Linked DNA regions of Struthio camelus. The main gene of each other region encodes a partner of the protein of the gene in region 4 in a complex. Links are inferred from orthologs where the notes say so. Each region holds a gene or a part of one and is shown on either strand. Other genes may lie near its edges.

Evidence for each region.
Region 1: the proteins of MYO5A (region 4) and RAB11A are in contact, whole or in part, in a crystal structure (PDB 5JCZ), measured with the Homo sapiens proteins. The link is inferred for Struthio camelus from reciprocal best matches to the Homo sapiens genes MYO5A and RAB11A. Residues at the interface, in NP_001369276.1 of Homo sapiens: Ile1660, Gln1661, Trp1738, Met1742, Arg1745, Tyr1746, Ser1749, Gln1750, Glu1753, Arg1756, Gln1777, Gln1780, Val1781, Lys1782, Lys1784, Met1795, Glu1818; in NP_004654.1 of Homo sapiens: Arg33, Glu35, Ile44, Gly45, Val46, Glu47, Phe48, Ala49, Thr50, Gln63, Trp65, Gln70, Tyr73, Ala75, Ile76, Ala79, Arg82.
Region 2: the proteins of MYO5A (region 4) and MLPH are in contact, whole or in part, in a crystal structure (PDB 4KP3), measured with the Mus musculus proteins. The link is inferred for Struthio camelus from reciprocal best matches to the Homo sapiens genes MYO5A and MLPH. Residues at the interface, in NP_034994.2 of Mus musculus: Asp1524, Val1527, Arg1528, Leu1531, Thr1532, Ile1535, Asn1536, Lys1539, Ser1570, Gly1571, Leu1588, Thr1589, Asn1590, Phe1591, Asp1592, Leu1593, Ala1594, Glu1595, Tyr1596, Val1599; in NP_443748.2 of Mus musculus: Lys184, Lys186, Arg187, Leu188, Leu189, Ser190, Phe191, Arg192, Asp195, Phe196, Glu197.
Region 3: the proteins of MYO5A (region 4) and SPIRE2 are in contact, whole or in part, in a crystal structure (PDB 5JCY), measured with the Homo sapiens proteins. The link is inferred for Struthio camelus from reciprocal best matches to the Homo sapiens genes MYO5A and SPIRE2. Residues at the interface, in NP_001369276.1 of Homo sapiens: Asp1551, Val1554, Arg1555, Thr1559, Ile1562, Asn1563, Lys1566, Ser1597, Gly1598, Leu1615, Thr1616, Asn1617, Phe1618, Asp1619, Leu1620, Ala1621, Glu1622, Tyr1623, Val1626, Asp1629, Leu1630, Gln1633; in NP_115827.1 of Homo sapiens: Arg404, Pro405, Arg406, Val407, Leu408, Leu409, Lys410, Ala411, Pro412, Thr413, Leu414, Met417, Glu418, Met420.

What each region holds. Positions count from the first base shown.
Region 1 is NC_090953.1:3,552,791-3,559,809, forward strand, and holds the start of RAB11A (ras-related protein Rab-11A), read right to left. Parts: upstream 3,017-7,019; 5' UTR 2,738-3,016; coding exon 2,698-2,737; intron 1-2,697. UniProt on the Homo sapiens protein: The small GTPases Rab are key regulators of intracellular membrane trafficking, from the formation of transport vesicles to their fusion with membranes.
Region 2 is NC_090947.1:4,446,242-4,453,295, forward strand, and holds the start of MLPH (melanophilin), read left to right. Parts: upstream 1-4,038; 5' UTR 4,039-4,157; intron 4,158-4,238; 5' UTR 4,239-4,302; intron 4,303-4,456; exon of another isoform or gene 4,457-4,592; intron 4,593-4,595; exon of another isoform or gene 4,596-5,044; 5' UTR 5,045-5,059; coding exon 5,060-5,169; intron 5,170-7,054. UniProt on the Homo sapiens protein: Rab effector protein involved in melanosome transport. Serves as link between melanosome-bound RAB27A and the motor protein MYO5A.
Region 3 is NC_090951.1:1,815,486-1,823,328, reverse strand, and holds the start of SPIRE2 (protein spire homolog 2), read left to right. Parts: upstream 1-4,834; 5' UTR 4,835-4,868; coding exon 4,869-5,085; intron 5,086-7,843. UniProt on the Homo sapiens protein: Acts as an actin nucleation factor, remains associated with the slow-growing pointed end of the new filament.
Region 4 is NC_090953.1:15,083,509-15,091,230, reverse strand, and holds the start of MYO5A (unconventional myosin-Va), read left to right. Parts: upstream 1-4,715; 5' UTR 4,716-4,848; coding exon 4,849-4,875; intron 4,876-7,722. UniProt on the Homo sapiens protein: Processive actin-based motor that can move in large steps approximating the 36-nm pseudo-repeat of the actin filament. Can hydrolyze ATP in the presence of actin, which is essential for its function as a motor protein. Involved in melanosome transport.

The DNA.
Region 1 (7,019 bases), about 12 Mb from region 4:
TTCAAGAGCAGTGAGAGACAGCCAGATTACAGAATATTACCCTATTATTTTAAAGCAAGCCAAACTATGAACTCAACCCCCAACTACCACAAGCCTTAAAGTTGGTAAGCCCAAAAGAACAGTCCTCCTGGATTAAGCGTCCTTATAGACCAACACCCAGTCTGATAGCAGCCCAGAGTGGATGCCTGAGAAACACTATGAATAAGAGAACAAACAAACTAATCTTTGTCCTAGCAGGCCCTCACATCTTCAAACAAGCAGTACCTTCAGGCTTTCTGTTCTAATCATCACAATAAGAGTGCCCCAGATTTTTCTTCCCCTATGGATCTGTAAAACCTTTCAAACCCATTTATACCTTTCGTTTATGACAATAAACTGCTCCAAAATTTGCATATGTCTTCAGGGAGATTATTCCCTATTTGTCTGTATCACTCAGTTTAATTCTAATAAAGTTGCACTTCACTTCAAGATGAGGAATATGAATCTTTTAGGTCTCTCTCCTGATTATTTTGATGCTCTTCTCCATCTTTTTAATTCTGTAACAACCCCTTTGAAAGGGGTATGACAGTCCTTCCTGCATTTCCTTTCAATCCAAGAAGTTCATGTCTCAGATTCAAATACTGGCATAATTCTCCCATTAAGTTCTCAGGTCATCTTCAGTAATTTTTTTTTTTTTTTTTACCTACTACTTGCATTTTTGACCAGTGCCTAGTAACGAGCCATTAGGTTCAGAGAACTACTCACAACAATTCCAAGATCTTTCCAGAGAGGTGATAGCTTGTTTGCTATCACCAACACATTTACGTATTTACAACTGTTCCCCCAGTTTGTATCACTCTGCATTTGTTGTCATGTTATTTCAGCTACCGACAGCTAAATATTTATCTCAGTTCATGTGATGTTGCATGAACCTCCTGCAGTCGCCTTTGGCTTTGACAAACCTGAATCAGCACTTCACAGCACTATTTTCATAGCATCACCTATACTCTCAATCCCATCTATAAAATAACCTTAACACAAAAAGCTTTGGGATGGGACAGTTAACTAAACTAGCTTTGAACATTTCTATACAACTGGATCCCAGCTTCATGAAATATTTCCCCATTATACAAGAAGTTTCATTAAAAGATGGCAAGTCTCCCTACAAACCCCACTTCACTTATATTCTCACACCTTCATAGCTTCAACATTAATCACAAGCATATCACTGACAGAACTTATAAATAAGTAAAGTGATGGTTTGGATAACTTGTAGATATAAGTACCTAAAATAAGACTGTTCACTGTGATTAAATTAGTGGCCAGAGAGGCCTTTGCATATGCTGCAAGCGAATATGAGGGGCACTTTTTGGAACTGACCTGATTTTAATTGCTGTACATACGACTGATTTATACTCAGAAATAATGTCATTTTCCACATGGAAATTGGGCAAAAGAGACAGAAAAAATTAAATTCCTCAAAGTTGTTACAGGAAATTAAGAGCACAGAAAGTAACACTGCTTCTTTCATTTAGGCAACCAAGTTTCACGATGCCAGTAATCGCATCTCTCACCATGAGAATGTACCAAGGAGTATTATAAATCCTAAACTCAGATGTCCAGTACAGTATCACAGTAAACAGCTATTTTAAAAATATTCCAAATATCCAATTTTAAAACGCTATCATAGAAGCAAGCAACTTCAGAACATCAGCATTTCAGTTTGGGTTTCACTGCATGCTTTACGAACCTTCACAGCAGACTGGCTTTTTGGACTGCAGGGAGTGAAAAGGGAATACTTAAGGCAATCAAACATCTTTAACCTAACTCACTGATGTACAGCAGACTGAAGGTGCACCAGTCCTGGAAAATAAGGTGTTCCTGCTCTACTCTGCTGGGTGCCATATGAGGTGCCAAGAAGGAAGACCACTGGCTGTGAAATAGGAGTTAACTAAGGAAGGACTGAAAACACAGAAGACAAATAATACTATTTTATTAGTTAGCTACATTTTCTACTAACGTTAAACGTAAGAACAATTTATTTTCTTCACAGTTCCATTTAAAAGCTGTAAAAGGAAGTAATTCTTATCCATCTTGGGCATTCTCACTTAGGATCTTTGTTCCTAAAGGCTGGCTGCCACCTCAGCCCACTGACAGAGCAGAAGCCTTAAACAAGACACAGACAGCACGCCAGATCACTGAAATGGAAACCAGCCCAAACTTACCATTATTTGCGGGGAGAACAACCAAAGCCGGCAGGCAGCGCTCCGGAGCGGGCAGCGGCTCCCAACGCCGCCCGAGCGATGAAGCTCCAGAAACCTCCGAGCCAGGGTCGGGGACTCCCCGCGGGCAGCGCCCCCGGCCGGGCAGCGCCCCGGGGGAGGGCGGCCCCCTTCCCATGATCCCCCCAGGGCCGGCCCCGGGGCAGCCCCGACCCCCACCCCCAGCCCGCAGCCGACACCGCCCGGGACCGGCCCCGCCAGGCGGCAGCCGGGCAACGACCCCCCCCTCCGCCAAGGGCTCCGGGGAAAAAGGCCCGAGGGGGCGGGGGCCGCCGAAGGAGTGGCGATGGAGCCCCCCCAAACCCGCTCCCCCCCCCCGCCGAAAAGGGCCGGTCCCGTGAGGAGGCCGCTGCCCCCCGCCAGGCCCAGACCTCCCCCTCCTCGGGGAAGGTGACCCCTCCGGTTGCCATGGCGACCGGCCGCCGCAGGCCGTTACCTTTGAAGAGATAGTCGTACTCGTCGTCGCGGGTGCCCATGGTGCGGTGCACCGAGGCGCGGCGGGAGGCCGAGGACCGGGACGGGCAACGGGAGCGGGAGCCGGAGCCGGACCCCTCCCTGCAGCCGCCGCAGCGCTTCCGCCCTCCGCGCTCCGCTCGCCCGCCCACAGAGAGATGCTTCCGGGGCAGCGCCGCGGCGGTACACGTCACTTCCGGAGACAGGCGACAGTGCCCCCCCCCCCCCTTAAAGGTGCGGCGCCGTCGCCAAGGCGGGGCGGGAAGTGCGGTGCCGCCCGGCGCCGCCCCTCAGAGCCCCTCCCCGCCTACCGGCCCCGCAGGCCCCGCCCCGCCGCGGAGCGGGCGGAGGAAGCATTAGAGGCGGGCGGGGCGGGTGATGACCACAGCGGTTCCATGGTGTAATGGTTAGCACTCTGGACTCTGAATCCAGCGATCCGAGTTCAAATCTCGGTGGAACCTGAAATTTTCTTTTTTTTCTTCTGTTTTCCCACCCCCCCGCCCCCGTCGGTTTTGTTCGTCCTCTGCCTGAGCAGTGGCCAGGCGCACGCCTTCCTCCCCTCCACTCTGTGCTGCTCCACAGACACAGGGCCGTATCTAACGATTACACCTCACACTTTCTCCTGATTTTAGCCCGCTAGTCCTTTCCCCCGCTGGGGAGTGGCTACCATCGCCCTGTCCCCACGGGCCAAGGACGGTACCGTGGGGGCTAATTTTCTGAGGGAGAAAACCCCAGAGCTGTCTCCAACTGTGCCGAGACCAAGGCGGATCGGAGGTAAACCCACCACGGCTCACAGAGCGGTCAGCAGCCCCGCAATCTGGGGGCACGTAACGACACGTCAATGAACTCTGAGTTAACGAGGTGCATCCCAGCCCGGGGCGGAGGTATTCGCCTCCAAGCGGCTCAGGTTTGCCACGCTCCCGCCGTGAGAGAGAGACAAAAATGGCGCCGGGGCCGTGAGGGAGAAGCAAAAATGGCGTCGGGGCCTGCGGGAGGCTGCGAGGCCGCCCCGAGGCGGGAAACGGGGCCGCCGCGCCGCAGGAGCTGCTGAAAGCTGGGTTTCTTCTGGAAACGAGCGGAGAGGCCGGCTCAGAGACCGACCGGCCGCGTTTTGGTCGTCCTCCGGGTCCGCTGGCCAAGGCCTCGCCTGGTCCTGCCCGTTGGCTCCCGCGGCGCGCGCCGGAGGCCTAAATAGCGAAAGATAAAAATAGCCCTCATGTCCAGACGATTAAACCGAAACCCTGAAAACTCATTCTTTTCCCACCGGCTTGCCGTCAGCAGGAGCTGTGAGTTAGCCATCGCTACAACCAGTGGCGGCGTTACCGTTGCCGCCCGCTGGGCGTCAACCCTGGGGCGCCCGCCGCGACCCGGCCCGGCACCGACTGTCGGCTGCAACGAGAGCGAACCGTGGCGCGCGCCTTGCGCTTCGAAAACGTTTCCGGCGGCTTCAGCCAGGCGGGAGCTGCTGGGCGAGGAACGCCGATAACAAAGACGCCCGGTGTGAAGCCGAAGCCCGAGTCGCCCGGTAAGAGTCCGGCCGCCCAGGGGCGCGGAAGTGGAGCGGGAGCCCAGGGCCGCCGTTGGCTTCCTTCCTGGGGCGCGTGGCGACGTCCGGCTTCTCGCCGCCATTCGTGCACGAAACCCGCTTAGTGTTGAGGGCTCCGCGGCTCCGCGGTCCGGCTCTGCAGGCGAGGCGGGGATAACGGTGTCTACGGGCGTTGCAAGACCAAACCCCGCAGCAGCAGGCAGCACGCGGGTAGCAGCGCAGCCACGAGGTCTGCGGGAGTATGTGCGGTCTCTGCGTTGACCCTTTTTCTCTCCAGATGAACCCCGGACGCTCAAAATGCATCTGAAAATGCTAGGCCGCTCCTGCCGCTCTGTTCTCTGAAGTTATCTCGATGCAGCAAGACGGGATTTAAAATTAATAATGGCTTCTGATGTGTGTAGAGGCTGTGGTGTATTTATAGCTCTGTAGTTTCCATCTCACATCCTATTTTCAGGCTGCCATTGAACTTTGTCATTAAAAAACTGTTAATTTTAACCTGACGTTTCCCAGGCCTAGTTTCACCCTTCAAAGATGCTATTACTTAAAAAAAAAAATTAAAATAGCCCAGTTGAAGTATTTTTAGTTGGCTGTCTGTAAGAGTTGTTTCGTTTTGGTGCTTTGGATTTTGTTTGTCAGCTGAGAACCTGGAAACACCCTTTATTTGCATTTTTCATATGTGTAAGAGTCACTTCCTCTTGCACCAAGTTGCAGATGTTCCTAGTCTGGAACTGGCACAAAGTAAGGAGAATGGCTCTTCCGGCGGAGCTAAAAGTGACGGCCCCTACATTGCTGTACAGTTACAACTTGGCAAAATTAAACAAGGCATTGCCAATCATGTGTTGCAATATGAAATTTCAGCAGATTGCCATGTACGTGAGTAGTCACAGGGGTTATTTCTAGCTGAGCCATTTAAATGCTTTTGCTCATTTGTATTCAGGTTCTTCATGGTGTAGACAGGCAAAACTGAAATAGCAGAAAGAACTGCGTGTCTGAACAGGAGTAAACTGATAGCAGTAAATGAGGATAGCATTGGACTAGCAGGGAGCTCTAGAAATTAAAAAGCCTTATAGTCTGGTCAGTGCTGGGTTAATTCTGTTCCTGATCATGAAAAGCCCAGGTGAGAATGTACAAATCCTCAGGAAATGCCACTGTTAGCAAAGACTGTTTTGGCTGTTCTGCTCCTTCTTTGTGTCCCCTCCTAGAGTGTGCTGCTGCGTTACGGGATGGCCTGGGACACCTCCTGCTCGTATGAAATGTGGCCAAGAAGCAGAGGTCAGGCCTGAAATAGCAGAGGACTATGTGCTCTGGGACTGGCAGCTTCTAATGTGAAGAAAGTCGTTCAGCGCTGGAATTTCTGCTTCGTTAATTGCCGTTAGTGCTGTACTTGTGGGAACGCTAAGTTCATTGCAAACCCTGAATTTTCACTGGCTGTTAATTCTTCACGTTGTGCTTAGAAAAGACCATTTGTGGTGGCAGCATGTTGCAAGCAACTGGAGCAGAGACAAGGACTGATACTCAGCTGGACCTTGGATGTTCAATTTAGCAAAGAAAAGAAGCAGAGGACACACTCATAACTGTGTATTTATGGTACTTTTCTGGAAATTATACACCAGTGGCCAAAAAGGCCCCAGATTTTGCCACAGCAGCACATTTAATGTGCAGGTGTGTGCGTTAGGGCTGTCAGCGCAGACCTGCTCTGCCTCAGGCGCTGTGTGTCCGGCTCCCCCCACGCACCCTCGCTTCATTCTCCCACTTTGCTCCTGCCACCTACTCTTGCGACCCTAAGAGGAATCCTCACCTAAAAAAAGTAAGAGGAGTTTTGCCCCCATCTTTGGCGGTTCTAGCTTTCCCACAACAAGGTCAGGGTCTCTTTGCAGAAAGCACTGGTTGGATTTGACATGGAAACAGAAGAAATTGAAATAAGGCAGGGGCAGTAGTTCAGCAGTAGAGCTGCTGGTCCCAGATCTTCTGACTCTGTATTCTCCATCCACGCTTTGCAAAGCCCATGAAATTGGCAGCTCAGGGAATGATTTGGGGTAGGAGTCACAATAATTCAGATTGCCCTTGAATGGCTGCTGACCCAAATTCCTGTTTCCCAGGTGAAAGGAGTCACCAGCTTCCCCTGTCAGAAGGCAGGAAGAACAAAAGCAAAGCCCCACAACCCATCCTACTCTATCACAGGAGAAATATTTCCTAAGGGGGAAATCCAATCGATACTTTCCAATTTTCTAACAAACCATGAATCATTGCAATTATGCAGAGATAATTCAAGCTTTCCAATGCAGCAGTCACATTAGAGATGAAAAGCAGGCTTTTAGCACTCACTACCTCCGACTTGACATAAGTCAATCAGAAAAAAGAAAGCTTAAGTATAAAATCCATCCGTTGAAATAACAAACTTTTCTTTTTAGGGCTCTGGACCAGAGCAAAGGGTCTATGATGTACAACGGGTTCTATTTTCGGACAGTTCCATGCCAGAGGTAGGAGTAATAAAAATGCATGGAGTAGAGAGAATTTTTCTGTTGATAACTTATTTGAACGCCAGCATACAGTCTATTCTTCTTCTACTTCTACAGCTCATATAACAAGAAATGTTCAAAAACATTTTCTGTAAATCAGCCTTTTCCTTCCTAACTCTGGAGCTGGAAGAACAAAGGATCTGGATCTGGATCTTTCCAAAGCCTTTCCTAACCTCATCCTAGTTTTCTAAAGATCTGAAGAAAGATAGAGAAGGCAGCAGCCCTAGAAAAGATTAACAA
Region 2 (7,054 bases), on a different chromosome or scaffold from region 4:
CATCTCCCCCCAGGCACAGCTATATTGCATTGGGTGCTGCATGGTTGCACACGGTCTTCTCGGGGAAGGGAGCGCAGCCAGACAGCCTGAACAAGGAGCGTTTTGTTTGTGCTGGTACACCGAAGGGCCAGACCTGGATCCCAGGCTTTCCTTTGGCTTTATCTTTTTTAAAATCTCAGTACAGTTCGCGTTAGGGTCCTCTGCCTTTCAGGGCCGAGGGGTTTGCGTCAGAGATGATGTTGAGCCCCTTCCCGCTCCTTCCCCCTGGCCACGATCTTGGGTGGATGGGGAATTAAAAAGCAAAACCCTGCTCTGACTCGCTCCGTGGGCAGCGAACAGGTCCTTCGCCAGCGTTTCTGTTTTGGGGTTTCCCGCTGGGGGAAACGGTCAGTTGTTCTTCCCGTTCCCAGGCATGAAGCACTGTCAAAGCTGCTTTTAGGCTCTAAGTTTTCCTCTCTGAAGATCTCAGCTGACTTCTAGGGCCCCACCCCTGATTTTCTTCAGACAACAGAGTCCTTTGCTATCATCTGGCTCACAACGTTATCTCCCCACCATCAGCTCTTAGCGGACAGGCAGTTAAGTAGCAAAGGAGAGGTGCGTGGGGTCCATTTGTTCTTTCCAGCAACATTAGCTCTGCCTAGAGACCCCCTCTGAACTCTGGCAAAGCAGAAACCGGTTCAGTGGTGACAGCCGGTATTTGCAGACAGCCTGAAGCAAACGCTCGAGGCATGCGTGAGCCGCTTCGTTTCTCAGGCAGTTAGCTCTCTCAAACTCTGCCCGCGCGCTTAAACGCAGTTCATTTTTGACCCTGCTGGTTGAGTGAACGGGCACATCCAGTTAGCGTCCTCGCCTGGTAATTCTGATTTTTCTCTCGCATCTTCTTCGGCGATCAGGGTTTCGAGTGTGACTGACAAAGCCTCCGGCCTCTTCCACAGCATTTCTGTCTGTGTGGACGGTGCTAATCCAAGTCCCTGACGCAAGCCGTGATCCTGGGCACCACACAAACTACACGTAAGACAAGGGGGGAGGGGAACAATGGAACTGTCTGAATGACCCTCTCGTTAATTTGGTAGGATCATTTGAGTTTGATGTCTGCAGGAAGACTTCCACTTCGTCACTGTCAAAATGATATGAAAACCTTAGGTTTTGTTATAAAATGGATGGGGCTTATCAACTGGGGCAAAGGCACATCATCTGCCTCAAGACAAGATTAATACGGCCTATGTCACACCTGAGCTGTTCTTGAAGACCTCCAGCTTTGCCCTGTGATCCTTTGAAATATTTCTGCTCCCGGCCCAATCCGTGGGCGTTTCACATCAGAGAGGTATTGAACCATTGATCTCCGGCACAACTCCCCTACATCAGTGATGGGGAACTCGGTGACCGACGTTACCCAGACCCAGGCTCTGACGCTCAAAGAGCTTCTCAAATCGCATCTCGCAGACCGCTGGTAGGATTCGCGCATGGCTGCTGCAAGTCTGCTTAGCCCAAAACACTCTGTGTTTTTGTCTGTTACTGCTGGGTTGCAATAGGTAACAACCCATTAAAACAGCTGTGTCTAAAGTGGCCTTGAAGTCACGCTGATTCGAATGGGATTAACTCGTGTTTGCTCAGCTCCTGTTTACCTTAGGAATTCCTATGAGCTTCAGAGGGTGACAGCCTTTGCCAGGTATTTTACCATCTGTCCACGGGCGGATACTTGAATTATATTTTTAATCTCCGCAAATGATACGCTGACACAGTTCACCCGGTTCAGTTTACTAGTGAAAATCCAAAGGCAGAAGGCTGTTCCTGTGCAAAAATTCAGTTCCCGGCGGGACCCTCGCCACCAGCTTTTAGGAGGCAAGTGTCCTGGTGTTCCTTCGTACTAAGGCAACACTCGGGGAACAGAGGTTGGAGATTGTGCAGCTTTTCCAAGGCAAGCCGGAAGCAGAATACGAACTGCTCAGTCTTCCTCGTGGTAGTAAAACAAATGGTTTCTAATCCTCCATGACTGCAGCTTTCTAACTGCAACCAATGTCGGAGCATCGTTTTTCCATGAAAATTAACCAACAGATGTTGAAGGACCGTTTTGTTTACGTGAGGCTCCTGGAGTCATTCTGGTTGCCTCCACAGGAGATATGGTCATGCAGGGACATGATTAAATAGTCATATTAATAGTAAGACCCGTAACGACGCCTGACGGGTCATGTGCAGAAGTAGCTGCCGCACCGTAACCCCCACCCCCCGCCTTTCCGAATCCTGCTTGTTCTGCTCTGGCATGACCAAGATGATAAGAGGTCTTTATAAAACCGCCGAGAAGACGAAGGGAGGAAAGAATGTGATCACAGAGCTAAGAAATCTCATGACTCGGAGATGATCGCAGAGAGGCGGAGGCAGAGGCACCCGTGAGTCTGCGCCCAAGGCTCCCTCAGAGGCGGCAGCGAACGCTCGCTGCTGCCTTGTTTGCCGGAGCTGGGCTGCTTTTCGCTCTGCCGCCCTGAATCGGAGCCTCGCGTCCGCTTGGACGGCCTGGAGGAGGTGCCACCCGTGGCTTTGTCTCCGTCCGGCTTTCAGAAACTCCTGCCAGGCTGGGATGTCCCCGCGCTGGGAGCAAGGCCGCCGGCGAAGCGCGGGTCGTGCTGAGCTGGATGCAGCGTGGGATGTGCTGCCTTCTGCGTCCGCTAGTCCCGCGGCGGGCAGCGCGCGCCGTCGGCGGCCTTTGACAGTCGGCGCGGCTGCCCGCGTCCACAAACGCCTGCTTTTCTGTGCAGGGTTGTGGCAACCTTAAAGACGAGAGCCCGGAAATTCCCCCTCTTCTATTATCTGGCAGGACCAAAACCACAAATTGAGCTCAAGCTTTGTCCTTACCGGTTTTAGCTTGTAACGCTTCTCTCTTCTGTCTTGCCAAGAGGAGGTCTAGGCCCCAAACTCGACTGAAATAAAGGGCTTTGGGCTACATTAGGCTGCCAGAGGTGCCCAGCTAATGGGAAATACTTGATTTGCCTCCTCCCTTGCACCTTCACGTGTGGTCGCTGCAGGTCCTGGTGTCATCTGGCTTTTATGACTTGTGAGCGTGGTTCTGTTTGGTTTCTTTTTTTTTTTTTCTTTTACACAACTTGGAAAGATTTGGGGGCCTCTATGCATAATTGTAAGAGGAAGAAGCGACAGGGTAAGCCGCTGCGGTCGGGCGGATTTCATTTTCTTTCCCAAAGCAGAGGCTGCGCTCGCTGGAAGCTGGCGATTGCCGCAAAATTCAACAAACTGGCTTTGCAAGAGGGGAAAAAAAAGAAAAATCTCTCTCTGCTGATTTGTACACGGTTGTTTGGGGGAGAGAGGGGGCCTGGAGTTTCCCCAAAGGAAAGCACTTATCGGGGAGAAAATGCAATACTCGCAATTTATTCTGTGCCCCCGCATCCAGGAAGCTTCCCGGCGGGATGGGTTTTTTTCCAGCTAAAGCAACGCTTCCTGGGGCTGCCGGCGCCGCCGAGCGCTTTGCTGACCCTACGCGGGAGGCCCCATCTTCCCCGTTTTATACAGCCTCCCCCCTTATCCTGGGGGTTGCGACTGGTCCCGAGAGGCGAGCCGGTGCCCGCCGCCCCCCCTGCCCTTGTCCGCTCGCCCTTGCATGCAGGACGGGGGCAGGAGCGAAGGCAGGCGCCTCAGCTCTTGGCGCAACCGTACTAAAAGGCCCTCGAACAGGGTCGCCTCGTGATGTTAATTAGTATCTATTGACCCGCTTCTCCCGCTGTTTGGAGGCAGCGGGCCGGCGCTGGCTCTCAAACGCGCCCTTACGTAAGGAGCAGCTCAACCCACGTCTCGCCGCTGCCGACGGACTCGTTGCTCTTGGTGCCATCGCCTCTCCGCTGGCAGAGGGGCTGGAAATCGATGTGCGACTGCCAGCGTCCCCCCCGCCTCCGCCTCCGACGTCTAACTCAAAGTTGCATCTGCGATAATTCGTCCCGGTTTGGATCCGGAGCCTCATCGGCGTTTCCACTGAGCTACCAGGGTGGAGAAATCTCTGCACCACGCGGACAAAAAGCAGTGGCCGTAAAAGCCGTCCTACCCGGCCGGAGGGGTGGCTGGCGGTGACAGGGAGACGAGTGCCGGCAGACTGCAATTTCCTTTCCTGGCAGAGTGGTTTTTCATCCTCACCGCTGCGCTCGCTCTTTGTTTAGGTGCCTGTTTGGGGGGGGGGGGGGGAATGTTGATATTTGCCCTGATAAAAGACAAGAACTGAATTTATTTTCTTATCCCAGTCGCAGGGGGGTCCTGCTCAGTGGCGCAGGGAGAGTTTGGCAGAAAGAGCGAGCAGCGAATACGGTAACGAAGCCAGCTTTGGTAACCGAATTATTTCAATGTCAGTATATTCCTTCTGCTAGACGACGCATCCCAGCCTTTTTTTTTTTTTTTTTTTTTGCAAATCCTATCAAACCTGTAAATCAGGGAAAGTCTGTCCTGTTTGCCACCAGAAAAGCTCAGCTTCCCGAATCGGCCGAGCCCCTCCCGCGAGAGCGGTCGGAAACGCGTGGCGCCGCCGTTTTCGGCACGGTGACGCTGCTGGTGGCGTCGGCCCCCTCCCAAGCACCGTGGCCTGCCCTCCCGTTTTTAAGGTCGGGCGTTTGAAGGTTGGTTGGAGTTGCCTGCACCCCATGTAAAGCAGGCGGCTAGGCTGCAAATTAAACGTCTCGTTTCAGGGAAAGCCAGGCAGGCGAGGTGTGGAGTTGCCTGCAGCTCTGCCGGTGGGACGTGGGGGAAGGCAGGGCGGCTTTCCCGGCTGGCGGGGAGTAGCCGCAGCTGATAAGCCCCAGCCAGCCCTGCTGCCTGCCTCCCAGGGCGGGATCTCCTGGCAGACCGGCCGCCGCGTCCCGAGGAGCTCGGTCGCCCGCCGAGAGCCCTGAATGAACCGGGTTGCACGGACAGCCCCGGAGGGGGAGCCGGGCTTTTCCCCTCTGCCGGCGCCCGGTCTCTCCTAGGGTAGGCAAGGAACGGGGCGGACTCGGGTCAGCGGTGCCGCCTCCTGCACGGCCCTGCCCGAGACGCGGCTGGGGTTTTTGTCCTTTAGACTCGGCGGCGCGAGATGGGAAGGAAGCTGGATCTTTCCAAGCTGACTGATGAAGAAGCCAAGCACGTTTGGGAAGTTGTTCAACGGGACTTTGATCTGCGGAAGAAAGAGGAAGAGCGGCTAGAGTGAGTACCTCCTCTGCGGGTTTTTGCGAGGCTTGCTGAAGGAAGCCGTGGCCATCGATTCCCGTATGTCCTGCTGAGGAGGGGATGTAGAAATAAAGCAAAAGATTGAATCTGTAAGCGAGGAGGAACAGCCAGGACCTGACTGTGACTCACACGTAGTGATTAATAAGTTATCAGCTGCAAGGTGATGCTTTCTGGCTGCAAAGGTGCAAAACTGGCATTCTTCCATGGGGCGTGAGCATTGACGCAGATACCCGTAAAACAGACCGTTTATGTGTCTTAAGTTTCTGGCCCCGCTGAGGAAATGCCTTTGGCTGCAGTTGGGTTTGATACCTGTATGGATTTCACAGGGAGAACTTACTTTAGAGCAAAGCGATCAGATTTGGCTCCCTTGCCTTTGTTTTATTTAACAGTTCTCATGCATTCGCTACAGGAGGGTGTTCGGGGGTCCTGGGAGTCTACAGGTGCCTTCTGGAGGATCCTTGGAGGATAACTGAGAGGAATAAACCTGTTGTCAGTAGGCTTAGGTATGCTGTACAGGGGTCTATGCCATTCTCGGGAAATTTTAAGGATCTGCAGAGTGGGCAAAGACTGAAAAATCACTGGAACAGCAGATTGAGATATCATCCAAGTTCTTGTACCTAGGACACTAGACAAAAGTGCAGGTTAAAAAAACGTTCTGCCTGATCAGTTGAAATTTTGAGCGTGAGAAGATTCCCTGGCCTTGTTCATTACCTTGACCTCAAAAGTTTCTTGGATTTTTTTAAGCAGCTGCAGCATCCCTGTTCAGCCTAGTTAGGGTTTGGCTAAGTTTTCCTTTTTGTCTGAATGTGACAGACAGTGCTCCAAGGCCACCTTTAGGCAGTGCTGCACTTCTGCTAACCCCACTTAGCTCTGGGTTTCACAGGCCAGCCAGATGGCTCAGCCACCGTCTAGGGACTGGGAGCTCCTTGATTTCTCTCTAGAGATATCAAAAAGGATCAAAAAGGAGTGACAAGGGATGGTGTGGGTGAGGGTCATACTCCCTCGATCTTCACTTGGGAGCATCTGCATCTGAGCAGGGTCGAAGCTCAGTCGGTGAAGGAGTGGAGGTAACAGACACTCGAAGTGCAGTACCGAGGCAAACAGGTATGATTAGCTGTTGCTGGTGAGTTTGTTAAATGTGAGAAATGCCTGCTGCTGGCTTCAGTCCAGCCGTCTTCTTGTGCAACATGTTGATTTAGAAGACGACTGCATCCTTTTATACCTTTTTCACAGGATTTAGCAGTTTGTTGCTGAAAAAGGCCAAAACCAGGGCCGTTCACATTCAATTTTACAGCAGCTTTGGGGAGAAGTCAGCTTGTAGGTGCTTTGTTTCCCCAGTGACAGCGGGGTCTTGAGAAGCATCCCCAGAAAGCTGGCGGCTGTGGGCTTCCCGTGCAGGACTGCCCATCGCCTCTGCCTGGCAAACCGCTTCTACGCGGTGTTTCATAGCACGCGTCTGAGCGCTTGGCTGGGGACGGGTGAGTTTGGGTGCGTTTGCGTTTCTGGTCGAAGCAGGCGAGAGAAACCGTGCGTACCTGCCGCTCGCCGCGCAGCCGCAGAGCTCGGCCAGATTCAGCACCCCTGGCTGGCAGCAGGCCAAAATTCCTGTGCAACCGGCTCGCACTGATAGGGTTGCCGTGCTGAGCCGTCTCGTCCGTTGTCTGCTCAGAGCGCCCCGTCCAGCCATCAGAAAGTTCTCAGTCACGAGTTTTCGACTCTCCTGCTTATCTTTTGTCTAAGAAAATCCAGCCTGCGTGGGCGGCGGAGATAATGCAGCATCATCGTCTACTGCCTTCCTCTGCTGGTAGCTCTGAAGTGCAGGATGGAGATGGGACAAGGGCATTTAAAAATATATACGACT
Region 3 (7,843 bases), on a different chromosome or scaffold from region 4:
AATGGCACGGCGACGCTGGGAAGCTCTCGCTGAACTCAGGTGTGTTCGTGTCTGGCCACATCTGGGGACGGCAAGCAGCACACATAAAGAGTGAGCTAACTTTGTAAAATGTTCTCTCCTTTCACGACCCGAGTTTATTGTGACACCTAATGAAACTGGAATATGTGCATCTAACCCCACAGGTGCTTTATGGAGTCATCTTTAATTCTTGTGGCTTTTTAAGGATATTTTTGGCATATGACAAAGGAAATCCATGTGAGTGTCTTACCTGAAAACAAACATTGCATGCAACACGCAACCCTGCTGCCAGCGGCTCTGGGAGCCGCGCGGGGAAGGGCTCCTGCCCTCCATCCCGGCTCCGCATCCATCTTTGCAGCACATTGTGTTTCAGTGCGGAGGGTGGTAGGAAATAGGAAGCACTTTATAACCTTTTCCCAACCTTTTCATTTTGTCCTATTTCATGTACTTTTATTTAAACTTCCCCTGTGCACATACACACTTTGCTTTTGTTTGATTTTTTCCAAGATGGTGGCTTTTAATTACATCTTGATTTCATATTAATTACAGTTTTACCCAAAGCAAAGGGCTTTGTGCTTTGTAATTCAAATATATTCCCATGAATCCTGCAGGCTGCGTTATTATCGTGGCCTTCAAACACCCCGCATCTTTCCTGCTGCTATCCCCGACGGTGCCACCCTGGCTGAGCCTGGAGGGCACCGGCAGGTGTGTTCAAACGCGATGCAGAGCAGGAGCCAGCAGCCGGCTCAGCCCCACGCGTACCCCCTGCAAAGGGCAGCAAGCCGATGCTTCCTCCCTCTAAAGTCACTTCCAAAGCAGGCTACAAAGCTGGCTGATTACAGGGTAAATGGTGCATTCCAATCTCATCTATCTGTGCAGATGGAGACTCAGACTTGAGTGTCACAGCCCAGAAGTGCCATATTTTCCTTCTCAACGCTGATGGGGCTCCCTCCAGCTGGCCGGTCGGTCCTGCTCCTGTTCCTATTCCCCATTTCCTCCCCATCGGCTCCTTGGACTGCACCGGAGCGGAGCCAGGGGTGCCAGGGATGACTGCACAGCCGTCTGGCCCATCCCTGTGCTGCAGTGACGGCCAAGCACGTCACAGCGCCGGTAGGGAGAGGTGGCTGAGCCGCAGCTCCTTGTCTCTTCCCTGAGCATCCCTTTGGCCAGGGGAGCAGACGTGGGTGCTCCAGCATGCCGGGCAGCAGCCTCGGACACCCGGGATAAGCCCTTGTCCTCCAGACGTGCTTCGTGACACCCAACACACCACGCTACCTTGCCTCCCTTCTGCCTCCTGCGGGGGAGCCGTGGGGCGGCTCAGGCCAACGGGACCAGCCGCACGTGGGGCTGGGCAGAGGGAGGCAGCTGAGCCCCCGAACAAAACGCCATCCTTGGTCAGCACTTTCTTTGGGCAGGTTTTGATCAGAGAGGCTTAACGGGGCCGTTGCTGACTCGCCCCCAGCGTGCCCACTCCCAGCCCAGCAACTGGTGCATTTGATAACCCCGCAGACACACAGACTTCGGGGAATCCCTGTCTGCCCTCCTCCTTCCCGAATCCCAGCAGGCACGTGCAGGGTTTCTCTCCAGTTCTGCTGTCGCGTTTCCTTCGCGCACTGATCCCACTAATGCTACGCACGTTCCCCCGTCCTGGCACCGGGGCAACTTCCAGGATTTCTCTTCTCTTGTTGCTGGGACAGACAAATACCCGTGCACCAGCTCCATCCCTCTCATCAGCCTGTCAGTGCAGCTCGCCTGCCCTCTGGGCTGGTTCCAGTTTATGCTCATGGGTTAATAGAGCTGAGATGGGCTAGGATGATCCTTCTATCATGAAAATGGATAGCTCATAATGACAAGAGCTTTAATTTGCTCCAGCTGACCTTTCACAGAGGGCCCCGCTGCTCTCTCTGCTCTCCAGGACTGTCTTCCAGAAGGGAGCGAGGGTCTGGAGGGCCTGCTGGGTCTCTGCCAGCCCTGTTTTCGGGCACCGGGCCATACCACCGTTTCCTGATGACAGCACGACCTTGCCGCCTGCCCTGTACCTGTGGGCCATCGGCCTCCACTCGAAGAGCGAGAGAGACTCCAGCTCCCCATCTCAGCGCTTTCCTGACGGCTTCTGCTGGTTGTGGTCAGGCTGAAATTATACTGCAGCATAAAGAGCTCTTCTAATTCGCTGCTTTTCCTCCCTGCTATTTTTACTGTCACGGCTGGACCTCTTCTCCCCCTGGCTGGCAGGACTAACCAGCCCAGCTCTCCACGCTCCTCTCCCCTCTGCGCCGTCCTCGCAGCTCACCTGCGCGTGAAGTGCTCCCCGGTGAGCATGGGCACCAGCGCTGCACGCCGCGTCTCGGGGGCTGCGCCAGCAGCCCCACTTGGCTGGAAGCGTCGCCCTGCCCGGGGCTGCGCTGCACTGGCAGCAGCTCGCGCATCACCTCCCTGCCCTGCTGGGCCTTTCCAGCCAGGGCGACCTGGGATTACCCCAGAAACTCCCGCTGCTGGCGTTGCCCGTGCTTGAGCTGTTGATTTTCAGCCCACATTCTCCTATACTGGTCGGCAAGGCTCGCTCCTTCCCAGGTGACCTCTGGCCATTGGAGGTGACCCAAGGCCATACGGGGGCCGTGCACACTGGGCTGCGGATGCCGATCCATGGGGTGAACACCTCGTTGCACATGTGCCCCCAGAAAGCTCCTGGGAAAGGCCTCCACCGCCACCAAAGAGGAGCAGCAGCAGGATTTCCCCAGCCCCGGGCGCTCCCGGGGCTCCCAGAGCTGCGGTGTCCTCGCAGCCAGCAGCCCCCGCTCTGCCGGTGCATGCGGCCGAGCAGCCACCCTGCTAAGGAAGGCTGGGGCAGATCAGTTGCCCAGGACAAGCTCTCGGGAGCTAATCATTTCCATGCCTCTGGTCTGTCCGGTCCGGGGCTGAGCCACGGGCGGTGCCCATGCCACAGCAGTGAGGTGGCAGTAGCCGCAGCGCTGAAGTGGCCATACCAGAGCTTTTAGGTGGCCGTGGCCAAGCCATACCTGCACGGGGCTCACTAGGGCGGTGCTATATGGACCAGGGCATGCTGCACTGGCAGGGTGCCTCGAGGTGGCAGGTGTCACCCCGGTCCCCAGGGCCCTTCCTGCTGCCAACCCCCATGCATCTCCCTCACATCACAGGTGGGAGGACAAGTCCCGGCCCTGAGCCCCCCCAGCAGGCCTGCACTGGGGCAGCATCCCACAACCTGCTCCACACCCTGTGCCCTGCACCCTGCTCTGCGCCTGGCACCCTGTGCCCTGCAGCCAGTCCTGTGCAATGCACCCTGCAGGAAGCTGTGTGCCCTGCACCCTGCGCCCAGTTGTGTGCCCTGTGTCCCACACCTTGCACCTTGTGCCCTGCACCTTGCACCCTGCACCCCCTCATGTGCCCTGCATCCTGCACCTGTGCCCTGCATCCACTTGTGCCCTGTCCTGCAACCCGCCAGGTGCCCTGCACCTTGTGCCCAGTTGTGGGCTGTGTCCTGCACCCTGTGCCCTGCACCCCGTTCTGTACCTGCGCCCTGTGCCCTGCACCCAGCTGTGTGCATTGCACCCTGCATCTGGTTGTGCACTGAGCCCTGCACCGTAGGCCTGGACCCTGCACCCTGCCAGCCCAGACAATCTGTGCCAAGCAGAGCTGAGCAGAGCTGAGCTGAGCTGAGCTGAGCCAAGCCAAGCCGTGCTGAACTGTGTTGAACTGAGCTGAGCCAAGCTGAGCTGTGCCGAACCGAGTCAAGTCGAACTGAGCCTAGCCGAGCCGAGCCGAGCCGAGCCAAGTCATGTCGAGTCATGTCAAATCGAACCGAACCGAGCCGAGCCAAACCGAACTATGCTGAGCCAAGCTGTGCCCAACTGTGTTGAACCGAGACGAGCTGAGCCAAGTCGTGTCGAGCCCTGTCGAATCGAACTGAACCGAGCTGAGCCGACCCAAGCTGAGCCGACCTGAGCCGAGCCTTGTCGAGCCCTGTGGAACTGAACCAAATCGAGCCGAGCTGAGCTGAGCTGAGTCGTGTTGAGTTCTGCCGAGCCAAGCCGAGCCGAGCTGAGCCGAGTCGTGTCGAGCCCTGTCAAATTGAAACAAGCTGAGCCGAGCCGAGCCGAGCTGTGCTGAGCTGAGCTGTGCTGAGCCGAGCCGAGCCCTGCTGAGCTGAGCCAAGCCGAGCTGAGCTGAGCTGAGCCAAGCCGAGCTGAGCTGAGCTGAGCTGAGCCAAGCCGAGCTGAGCTGAGCTGAGCTGAGCCGAGCTGAGCTGAGCCAAGGCGAGCTGAGCTGAGCCGAGCCAAGCTGAGCTGAGCTGAGCCAAGGCGAGCTGAGCTGAGCCAAGATAAGTCGTGTTGAGTCCTGCCGAGCCGAGTCCTGTAGAGCCGTGCCGAGCCGAGTCCTGTCGAGCCGCGCCGAGCTGAGCTGAGCCAAGGCGAGCTGAGCTGAGCCAAGACAAGTCGTGTTGAGTCCTGCCGAGCCGAGTCCTGTCGAGCCGTGCCGAGCCGAGCCGAGCTGAGCCGCGCCAAGCTGCACCGAGCTGAGCCGAGCCGTGCCAAGCCGTGCCATGCCTTGCCGCGCCAAGCCGAGTCCTGTCGAGCCCTGCCGAGCTGAGTCCTGTCGAGCTGAGCCGCGCCGCGCCGTGCCGTGCCTTGCCGCGCCGCTCGGCGCCGCTGCGGTCGGTACCGCCCAGCCCGGGGCGCTGCCCCCAGCGGCGGGCGGGGCGGGCGAGGCGGGGCGGGACGGCTCGGCTCGGCTCCGCGCCGCTCGGCTCCGCGCCGCCCCCGGCCCGGCCCGGCCCGGCCCGGCCCCCCGTGCGGCGGCGGCGGCGGCGGCGGCGGCGGCGCGGGGATGGGGCGATGGCGCGGGCGGGCGGCGGGGGCCCGCGGGAGCTGTCCCTGGAGGAGGTGCTGAAGTGCTACGAGCAGCCGCTGAACGAGGAGCAGGCCTGGGCGCTCTGCTTCCAGGGCTGCCGCGCCGCCGCCGCCGCCGCCGCCGCCGCCGCCGGGCCGCTGCGCACCGCCGACATCCGCCTCCGCGGCGACGGCAGCGTCGCGCTCCCCGCCGCGCCGCCCGGTAAGAGCCGCCCGCCCCGCCGCCGCCGCCGCGCCGGGGCACGGGGGAACGGGCTGCGGGGGAACCGGCATCGGCATAGGGCCACCGGTACCGGTATGGGGCGATCGGCACCGGTATGGGGCAGCTGGCACCGATGTGGGGCGACCGGCACTGGTATGGGGTGACTGGCACCGGTATGGGGCGACCGGCACCGGTATGGGGCGACCGGCACCGGTATGGGGCGACCGGCACCGATATGGGGCGACCAGCACCGGTATGGGGCGACCGGCACTGGTATGGGGCAACTGGCACCAGTATGGGGCCACCAGCACCAGTATGGGGTGTCCAGCACTAGCATGCAACTGGCACCGATACAGGGCCGCCGGCACCGGTATGGGGCAACCAGCACTGGCAGCGGGGGTGACCGGCATCAATACGGGGCGAGTGGCACCAGTATGGGGCAACCAGCACCGGCAGTGGGGGTGACCGACACTAATATGGGGCGACTGGCACTGGTATGGGGCAACCAGCACCAGCAGTGGGGGTGACTGGCCTGGCATGGGGCAACCGGCTTCAGTATGGGGTGACAGGCACCGGCATGGGGTGACCGGCACTGCCAGCGGGGGTGACCAGCACTGGTATGGGGTGACCGGCACTGCCAGCGGGGGTGACTGGCGCTGGCCAGGAGGACCGGCAACAGCACTGCGGCTGCGGCACCGGGAGCACTGGCAGCAGGGTGACAGGCACCGGCAGTGGGGACTGGCACTGGGGAGAATGGGTGGCCGGGCAACGGGAGTCACCATCCGCAGGGGCACCAGACCTGGTACTGCAGGCACTGGCGGGGGGGGGGGGGGGGTGGCTGCACCGGCACAGCCGGGACCTGCATCAGCACTAGCACAGACAGGGGGTGGGCGCACAGGGGTCCAGGCCCAGCACGGCACCCGCACTAGCACCAGTACCAGCACGGTAAGGTTGGGCCCTGCCCTGAGAGAAGGTTCCCAGCTGATGCTGGGATGCATGGGGTGCGCCGTGGGTGTGGGTGTAGGGGCTGTGGGGTGTAGGGTGTATGGTGTGTAGGGAGTGCGCGGAGTGTAGGGGGTGCCCGTGGGTGCAGGGCTCACGGGGCTGGCAGCAGGACACACAGCAGGGACACGTGGGGACACACAGCAGACACACAAGGGACACGGTCACACGTGGGAATGCACAGCGCACGCGTGGGGGTGACACATGCACAGACGTGGAGACACACACACACACACAGAAGCAGAGACATAGGGACACAGAGCACACATGTGGACCCACCTGCACATGCATGGGGACACACAGCACACAGGGGAACACACGGAGCACACGCAGGACACACACATCACACACGTCAACATGCACACAGCGCATGCCTGGACACACATGCAGCACACAAGCACACTGACACGCACAGGCTCCCCAGCCCTGGCCACCCCACGCCCTCACCCAGGCACCCCGGAAGAGGCCGTTTGGAGTAGCACTCTCCCCAACCTTTGGACCTGCCGGCCGTGCCCTCTCTGCAGGCGGTTGGCGCTGCTGGGTAGGGCCAGCTGTGTTTATGGTCTGTAATTATGGCCTGTGCCAGCAGCAATGATGGGTGGCTCACAGCAGCAGAGATTAGTACCCCTGTGCCTAATGAGAGAGCTTGCACAAATTAGGCTTAACCCCTGCCTCGCCCCGCATGGGAGGTGAAACACCTCTCTCTAGCGCTGGCTGGAACCTGAGACATTTGCTGGCTCCTCTGAGGTTCAAAGATGGCTCTTGGTGTTTCACATTATCAGTTGCTGCAGGGCTTCCCTGGGGTGTTTGCAGCCAAGAGGTGCTGCGGTGTCTGCGTGTCCCTGCTCCGGGCAGGGGATGCTGCGGTGTCTGCGTGTCCCTGCTCCGGGCAGGGGATGCTGCGGTGTCTGCGTGTCCCTGCTCCGGGCAGGGGATGCTGCGGTGTCTGCGTGTCCCTGCTCCGGGCAGGGGATGCGGCGGTGTCTGCGTGTCCCTGCTCCGGGCAGGGGATGCTGCGGTGTCTGCGTGTCCCTGCTCCGGGCAGGGGATGCGGCGGTGTCTGCGTGTCCCTGCTCCGGGCAGGGGATGCGGCGGTGTCTGCGTGTCCCTGCTCCGGACAGGGGATGCTGCGGTGTCTGCGTGACCCTGCTCCGGGCAGGGGATGCGGCGGTGTCTGCGTGTCCCTGCTCCGGGCAGGGGATGCGGCGGTGTCTGCGTGTCCCTGCTCCGGGCAGGGGATGTGGCGGTGTCTGCGTGTCCCTGCTCCGGGCAGGGGATGCTGTGGTGTCTGCGTCCCTGGTCCGGGGATCCAAGCAGGAGATGCTCCCTGGTGCACAGGGCAAGGAGGGAGCCGAGCAGGAGATGCTCCCTGGTGCACGGGGCATTTGTCTGCGTAGCCAGTGGCCAGAGGAGGTGGAGGTAGCCCGGGCTGGGCTCCCCATGGTCTGTGCTGTGCCCAGGGGCCAGGTTGGACCCGTGGCCCTAAGTCCTGTGCTCAGCAGAGACCTCTCCTGGCCCAAGCTCGGAGCTACGATTTTTAAGTTAGGTGAACCCAAGCATGCTGAGGGCTACGGTCCTGCAGGACCAGTGCCCCAAGCTGCAGGCCACCACGCTACCCCATGTGGCCTCGCCGTCTCCTGCTCCTAAATCCTTTCAGTACCATCCTGAGGGATTTTTCCCCCTCTCCCCTCTGAGTGGTTCAAAGCCATTCAAAGCCATATGATGAATCGGGGTCATTCACTGTCCAAGCCCAGAG
Region 4 (7,722 bases):
CACATTTATATATATTTCAGTGCTTATTTTTCTAATAAGGCAATTAAAGCTTATTGTTTGAAAACTCTGTAATAGATGATTGTTTTGGTCCCATGTACAGAGTGAAGGGGGATTTCTGGGGATTAACTTGGCATATAGAAGTTTGCATTGCTATAGATTGTATTGACCGGACTATGACAAAGTTTCCAAGAAATCAAGGTCGGGGGGGGGGGGGGGGGGAATCCCACTGATTTTATATTCCGATTGTGACTTAGGTACGGTCTTCTGTGCAACTTCAAGAGCCTCATGGTATGCTTATACAGTTAGTTCATTAACCAGATCTAGGCTAACACCCTACCTGCTCTACATCTGTACCAAACTGAGGAGAACAATGTCCAGTTTAAGTAGTGTCGTCCGGATACCATACTGAGGCAGTGCAAAGGTGGCATTAGCACTAGCGTGAAGAGTCCTAGGTCATCTGAATCTCAGTATATGGGGAGTGGCATCCATTTTCAGGCAAAGTCAAACTGTTTAAATACAGGCTCATTGCCCAAATCTATTTCCAGTTGAAAATGAAGCAAGTAGAGTTGCACAGGCCTGCATTCAAAGGAGCTTTGCATTTGGTAGCTGTGGTCACAGTAGAGTATGCCTGCCTCAAATCAGCAGGGAGACAAGATGGCAGCAAGGTGTTGATTTGATGACTAGGGGGCTTTCTGAGAGATGTGAAAGAGTAGACGGGGGGAGCATGTGTGGCATGTGAGCAGGCAGAGTGCTTTTAAACTTAAAAGTGGAGCTGGGCTGAATGTATGGTTTGATGTTTATTTCTGCTGTAGTACAAGTGAGCCCCCTTCTTGCAGATTTGTCTTTGCAATAGTTTAAGCTCAAAACTTGGCTTTTTCCATCCTAATTTCTGGCATCTTTAGATCCAGAGTAACTTGAAATCCTAAGAGTTCTGTATGTATTCAAGGTGTTTGCTTACATTAAATATTTCTCTTGCAAACGCTTCTGAAATACTTGCACAGCAGCAGATAAACTTTAGCTTTAGTTTAGAGGAAGGTGACTGAATTGTGCCTGTCTTTCTCAGGCTTCTTTTTATTGCAACTGGGGTGCTGCTTCATGTATTTTTATGTATAAGTGTTTTTGCATATTTATAGCAGGTACAGGAGTCTGCTTAATTATGGCTGTGGAAAACATTGCCAAAGACTCCACCAGTTTCAGATGGATGTTTATTTGACTCTAATTTAAGACAGTAATATGAAATAGTTTTTGTTTCTGACTTTGTCTTAATTTAATAGCAGATTCCAGTTGGTGGTTTTAGTTCACCTTATTGCAGGACAATATTGCAGCTGTTACTTAAAGAGGAATATGCTTAGATGATATGTCAGCTTCCCTTGACAGTATTATGGAATAGCCATCTTCTGCCACTTCTGGTGCAGGATAACTTGAATTCGTAGAGACTCGGTTCAACTTCTGGTGATGTTCCTGTCTTAAAAGGAGTGCTAATATGACAGTGTTGTTTCTTACTGGATTTGAGGGGAAACAAAAAACAAAACAACTATAAGGGTCTTGAGAAACAGGTTCTGGATTTTTAAATGTACAGCATTTTCTCGGAGTTGAATTATAGTGCTGAAATGACAAGGATGCTTAGATGCAAGAACTGGGAGGTGCAGGTTCTTCTAAGCAGCAAGTCTGTTCTCAGGTGATGTTTTTTATACTGTTAAAAGAATTTCTGCTATTACATTGAGAGGAAAATAAGTAAATTCTAAAGGCTGCAGAAATCATCCTAGTAGGATGAGAATACTAGGGGAATATATGGGAATTTCATCATGCCGTTAAGAGTCATTATGCTATTTAAGACTACTCTTTTCTGAAAGCCCACAAAAATAGAAGTAAATCCCAAGTTTTATCTGGAGAATATGTACACAGAATATGATTCTCTTATGTTACTTTTCAGCGCTTTCAACTGATTTTTAACTGTTCAGTCAGTACTGGCTGAAAGCAACGCAGTTTGTTTCCTACAGCTAAAAGTTATAGGCCTAATCCTTGATGTGTGAGAATACAGGAAAGGAGAGAGTGAGGATTTTAGCCTGTGAATTCCTGAATTAACTTTGTGTTAGCTTTTTCCACTATCCAGTGGAACCTTGGAATTGAACTGATGGTCAACGTTGGATATACAAGAGCTTTCCTGAGGGAATGGTTGGGCTTATCCACTATATCATATAAACTAATACCATGTTCCTCATGTTACCAGTGTGTGTTATTTCTGCGCCTCTAATGATTTCTGTTTTTCATTTGATCAGCAGAGAATCCATTGATCACTGTGGCACAACATGACAACAACCGAGCATGTAGCCCTAATTCAGAGGGGGATTTTTTTATGCCACAATTGAACAGACTATGAGCATAAACAGAACATGGATATAAGCAAAAGACATGACAGATGCTCTGTAGTTACTTCTGAAGAAAGTTATATAAACTAATCTCAATTCCTAGAAGGATAACTTTCCTACTTTTTTTGATGGGATTGAAATTCAGTATAAAATTGTGTATGTGGACTGTGTCAGTTACGTGAGCCATTCATAGCTGGAATACTGTGTATATATCTGTCCTGAAACAAAATGCCATACATGATCTTTGTGAAAGGATGTTGTGCAAGGTATGAGATGAGGACATCTTTCAAATTTTACCAGCAAGTGTTTGAAGTAGGAGCCACTTGTTAAAGTAATAGCTAAGCAGTCACTCTAGATATATTAAAAACAGGTTGTTTCTCTACAACTTTCATTGCCCCCAATTCCTGTCCTTAATGACAGGTTTGAAATCCTGGTTTATGCAAATTGTGTCAAATCATAGAGTATTTTGGACTCAGCTATCTATTTTTTGCTGGTGCTTGTAATTACATTTGGCTCCTGAGTGCCAGCTGTGAATGGCTGATACAGTAATCCACAGTCCAACTGAACTCCTGAAATGGGCATCCTGAATTTAGGATAGATGACATCCTGAAGAAAGGCTATTAAATATCAGATATGAAGCAACACATGTGCGAGGGGAGATTCAGGTCCCTTCTGGAAATAAAACTGGGGAATTTTTGTGGTCCAAATAGCAAGATTCTTGCATCAAGTCTGTTAAAGGGGGGTGATCAGAGTCGCAAAGCCCAAATCGCTATTACTCCCACTTGTTCTTTTCTGTTGTAGATCAAAGGTGACTGGTAGCTTTGTAGTCTAGATCCCTGTTTTACCATAGTGGGCATACAAAGAGCAGCCGTGCAAACTTCTTGCCTTGACCTGGGCTCGAATTAGCAGGACTCTGTCCTTGGCTTCTCCTAGGACTGAGAGCAAGTGTCCCAGTTCTGTCAATGGCAGTGTGCCACCTAGACAGGGGGCAATGACAGTAATCTCAGCTGATAATCCTGGACATACTGGCAAAATATGGGAAGGAAGGTATTATTTTAATTTAGTTCTGATAAACCAGTTTCAACTTTCTGAACTCTCCCAGCAAAATCAACAATTTTTTAAACTTCTTTTCTGAACTTACTAACTTTAGCTTATTAGCCATGATCTTGTATCTGGAGCTAACATGAACAACTATCAGTAGGGCTCCATATTTTCATCTCAGTTATTTTTCATCTTTTTCATTTGTCTTTACTACCTTCTCTATCTCCTTTCTTTCGGATAGCACAGTAAAGTGCAGCTAGCGATTATAGCATTTATTGGGAGTTTATTCTGGGAGTCCAGGGAGCTTGCTTTTGTTTCTAGCTGTCAAGAGTTGATGTGTAATCTTGAGGCCATCTCTTTCATGGCTCTCTCTATCTGTAGAACAGATTTCTGTATTTCTTTGCTAGCGTTAGCTGCGCGTTTCTGTGGGGGTGCAGATACTATCTGCTGAATACAAAGCTGCTATTTAAACAGCTGAATTTCTCATGGAGATGCTGCTTGAAGACTCAAAGCGCTTTGATGCAGAGTATGGCAAAGATGCCTGTTTCGATCTTGTTTTGTACTCTGGACCGCTTGCAATGAACGATGGCCTGCGTTCCCAAGGCGAAAAAGTAAACTACTCCCGAGACGGTAGTGGCTTCCGTCCTGTTATCAGAGAAGTCTTGCCACAGTGCGCGCTGTAAGAAACTCCAGTTAACGAACGATTCATAAAGCAAATGAGCTCCCTTCTCACAACCCAACCCGAACATGGATTCTGCTTGTCGTTCTCTTGACGTGGAAGTTAAACTTTTCCAAGACGTGCATCTGTTTCCCTCGGGGAACTGGGCTTGGCTTACCTAAGGGGGCCCGTTCTCTTCCGTGTTTTCGTTAATGCCCTAGGTGATAAAGACGCACAATTCGTAGAAGTTACCAAGCTGCAAAAGGCTGGAAATACTTGGACATTTGGGATTATAATCAGTGAGAGAAAATACTGAAAGGGGAAAAGGCTGCGCTTTAAAAGGCAGACACGCGAGAGGAGAAGAACAGGCGCGGTGGCAGGAGGGCCGCCGCGGAGGGAGCGGGAGCGACCCCGGGGCCGCCGCCGCGCCAAGGGCGGCTCTCGCTCCGCCCGCCGCCGGCGCCCCCGCCGCGGGGCGAGAAACGCGCGGAGCGGCGCGAGCCGCCTTTCGGCCGGGGGCTCGCGCGTGACCCGCGCCGGGGGCTCCCGCCTCGCGCCCCCCCTCCCCCCCCCCCGCGGCTCTGCGGGGGCGCGGAGCCGAGCGGCACCGAGCGGGCCGCCCGCCGCCGCCGCCGCCTTCCCACAATGCACAGAGCGCGGCGGCGGCCCCGCAGCCCGCCAGGTAGCGACATGGCGCGCCGCGCCCGGGCCGCCGCCTGAGCATCCTCCACCTCCTCCTCCTCATCCTTCTCCTCCTCATCCTCCTCCGCCCGCAGCGCCATGGCGGCCTCCGAGCTGTACACGAAGGTAGGGCGGCGGCGGCGGCGGCGGCGGCGGCGGGCCGGGGCCGGGGCCGGGGCTGAGGGCGCGGCGGGAGCGGCCGGGGCCGGGGCCGGGGGCGGAGGCGGCGCGGCCCCCCGGCCCTCGCGGTGCCGCCCTGAGGCGGCCGCGCCCGCAGTGGCGAGGCGCCGCCGGGGGCAGCGGGCCGGGCCGGGCCGGACCCCGCGCTGGGCGCAGCGCGGTGCGGCGCCTCCTGTGCCCAGGGCCGCTCCGGCACCGCCGCTCGCCGGCGGCGGGACCCCGCTCCTGCCGGCCCGGCCCGGCCCGGCCCGGCCCCGGCTGACCCGACCCGCCGCTGCCGCCGCCAGCAGCAGCAAAACCCCGCGTTTACCCCTTCCCCAGCTTATGCAACGCACGCCTCCCGGGAGCGAGCCCTTCCGAAGGGTTTAGTCAGCTTCCTAGTTACGTGTCGCTATTTTTAATATGTTTGGATTGAAATAACGATTTCGTACGGTTCTGTGTCGTTCAGCCACGTCTTCCAAAAACGTCGTCAAATTCCTTTTAGAGAAGCAGCTGCTACAGCATATATGGTGGGGGCCTCGTGGCGTTAAACTAACCTTTCTGATGACACTGCACCTTTAGATCGCGTTCGTTCTTCTGGCAGGCGTTCGCACTCCCTCCAGCCAGCGGTGATGCGGGAGGTGCCTCTCTCGCAGTTTTTCAACAGACAATATTTTGATCTTTTTAGGTTTGCGTTTCAGTATCTCATCAGCTTGTACCCAGAAGCAGTTATTGCCCTACGCATCTTTCTGATGGGAAAACTTGCAAATTGAGAGCTGTTGAAATGATCGTTTCATGCATTAGCAATGCATCGTTTTCATTCCTCTGTCTAGTTATAGCGCAAAATATCTAAAGAAGAGTGGCTGACCATATGTTCTTCAGGGCAGAAGGGATCATTGGGGGGGTCACCCGACGCGAGCGCCATGGTACAGTGCAGAATTCCCCCAAACAAGTTTAAAAAGTCAAAGTCTGCTTTGCTGAAAGGCGTGTCATCTAGATCTTTGAACCGCTTGATGAAATACTCCTAAATTATCCCCAGTCGAGTTCTTTGTGTGAGGAGAGAAAGAGAAAGGAAACAGCCTGTTTGTTTTGGCATGAATAGTCCACCTTATTTGTGGAGTCCACCCCGTGAGCTATGGTAGCCGGCACCCTGCACATGCATCGGTACAAATCAGATTGGACAGTCCTTTCAGTAGGCTTCATTGGCCACATCTGAATAGTGTATTTGTGTAGACTGAATGTAAGGAAGTAAGATATGTGCCTGCATGCCCTAAAGAAAGCTAAATAAACTAGTGTATATGATGCATCTTTATGTTTTATATCTCACAGACAAGTATCTGTATTAACTGTAATTGCAAAAGGGGTGAAAATTAGCACTCTGGTCAAAAGCGCAATGATGGAGTAGAGTTGTTCGCAAGCACCCAATGGAGTTTGTCTATGCAAGGAGTTATTCTGGAAAGTTGATCTTGATTTACCTCTCTCTGTGGATGTTCTTGTTACGGAATTAAAATGTCCATATAAGAAGTTAATCCGAGATACTTATTTTTTGTTTTAAATTCAATCCCTGTCATAGCTGGAATTCACTTCCTTGGAAGGTTAAGTCCTTTAGTCAGAGACTACCCCAGGAATGTGGGTGTCCTGTTGTCTCGGCGCTACATTACAGTGGAAAGCTCAGGGCCGCCTTCCAGTTCCTGAAGAAGGCTTGCCTCTGGTACAGGCACCTGGATATGGAAGTCGCTGGGGGCAGAAAGAGAGACTGTCTTTGCATCCTTCCCCTCTTTGCCTGCTTGTCCCCAGGTAAAACCATCCTGCTATTCAATCAAGTTCAGTATCTCTTTTAGCGAGTAGCAACAACAGACCTCATCCTTGATCAAGTAACATAAATAATGGATTTAAGATTGGAGTGGGAAAGCTAAAAAAAAAAAAAACAAACAAAAAAGACCAAACAAAAAAGCAAAACAAGTGCAGGGTATAGTGCTCCAGTAGGGGACTTACTGCATGACTAAGATCATCGAGATTGCTTCTGTGCTTTACTCACACAACAGGCTATTCTTATCCTCTTTAAAACCATATGTAGGCACAGGAAAAGTGACTTTCACATCTTTTTTTATACTGGCAGGCACGTTCAGGATTGTCATTCAGGACAGCTCTTTAAAGTAGCAGAGCATCCAACTTAAAAGTGACACTTAACATATGGTACTGGCATGTATGTTTTGCTGGCGGGTAAGGAAGGGTATGAGTTTGTAGTGCAAACTGACTGGGCCAGTGCTTGTGTGGTCTGAAAATGAGTATCTGAAAGCTCACTTACCCCTCTTCCACTGTCAGTCCACGTTCCAGCTTGTCCAAGTTGCGCAGATAGCTGTGTTTGTATGAATTACTTTCTAAAAAAGTTGATAAAAATATATAAATAACTGGAGTGCCAGTGGTGCAGAGAAGTTATCAACATCTCTTTAAATATTGCCTGAGAAAGCATGAGACTTTGTTTTTGTTTCATTTTTTGTTTCAAACTGCTGTTTGCAGAAGTGGAGGTCTGTGCCTTATCCCTCAGTGCGTCCAGTTTTGTTAACATCCACTGTGAAGCCTTCAAACTTGGCTTCGCTGCATGCCAGAGTGAAAATAGTGCCCTCTGTCCCAACCACATATGCTAACTTGAAATAGTATACAGGAGCCATTATTTTCCCAAGCTAAATTATTTTTTATCAGAAGCGAGCTACGTATGTTTTCCCAGAAGTCATGCCGCTCTTATGAAAATCCTCTTCCTTTTATTTCATGTATATGTTTGTTTAAATTTGGTGACCGTATAGACAGCCTTAT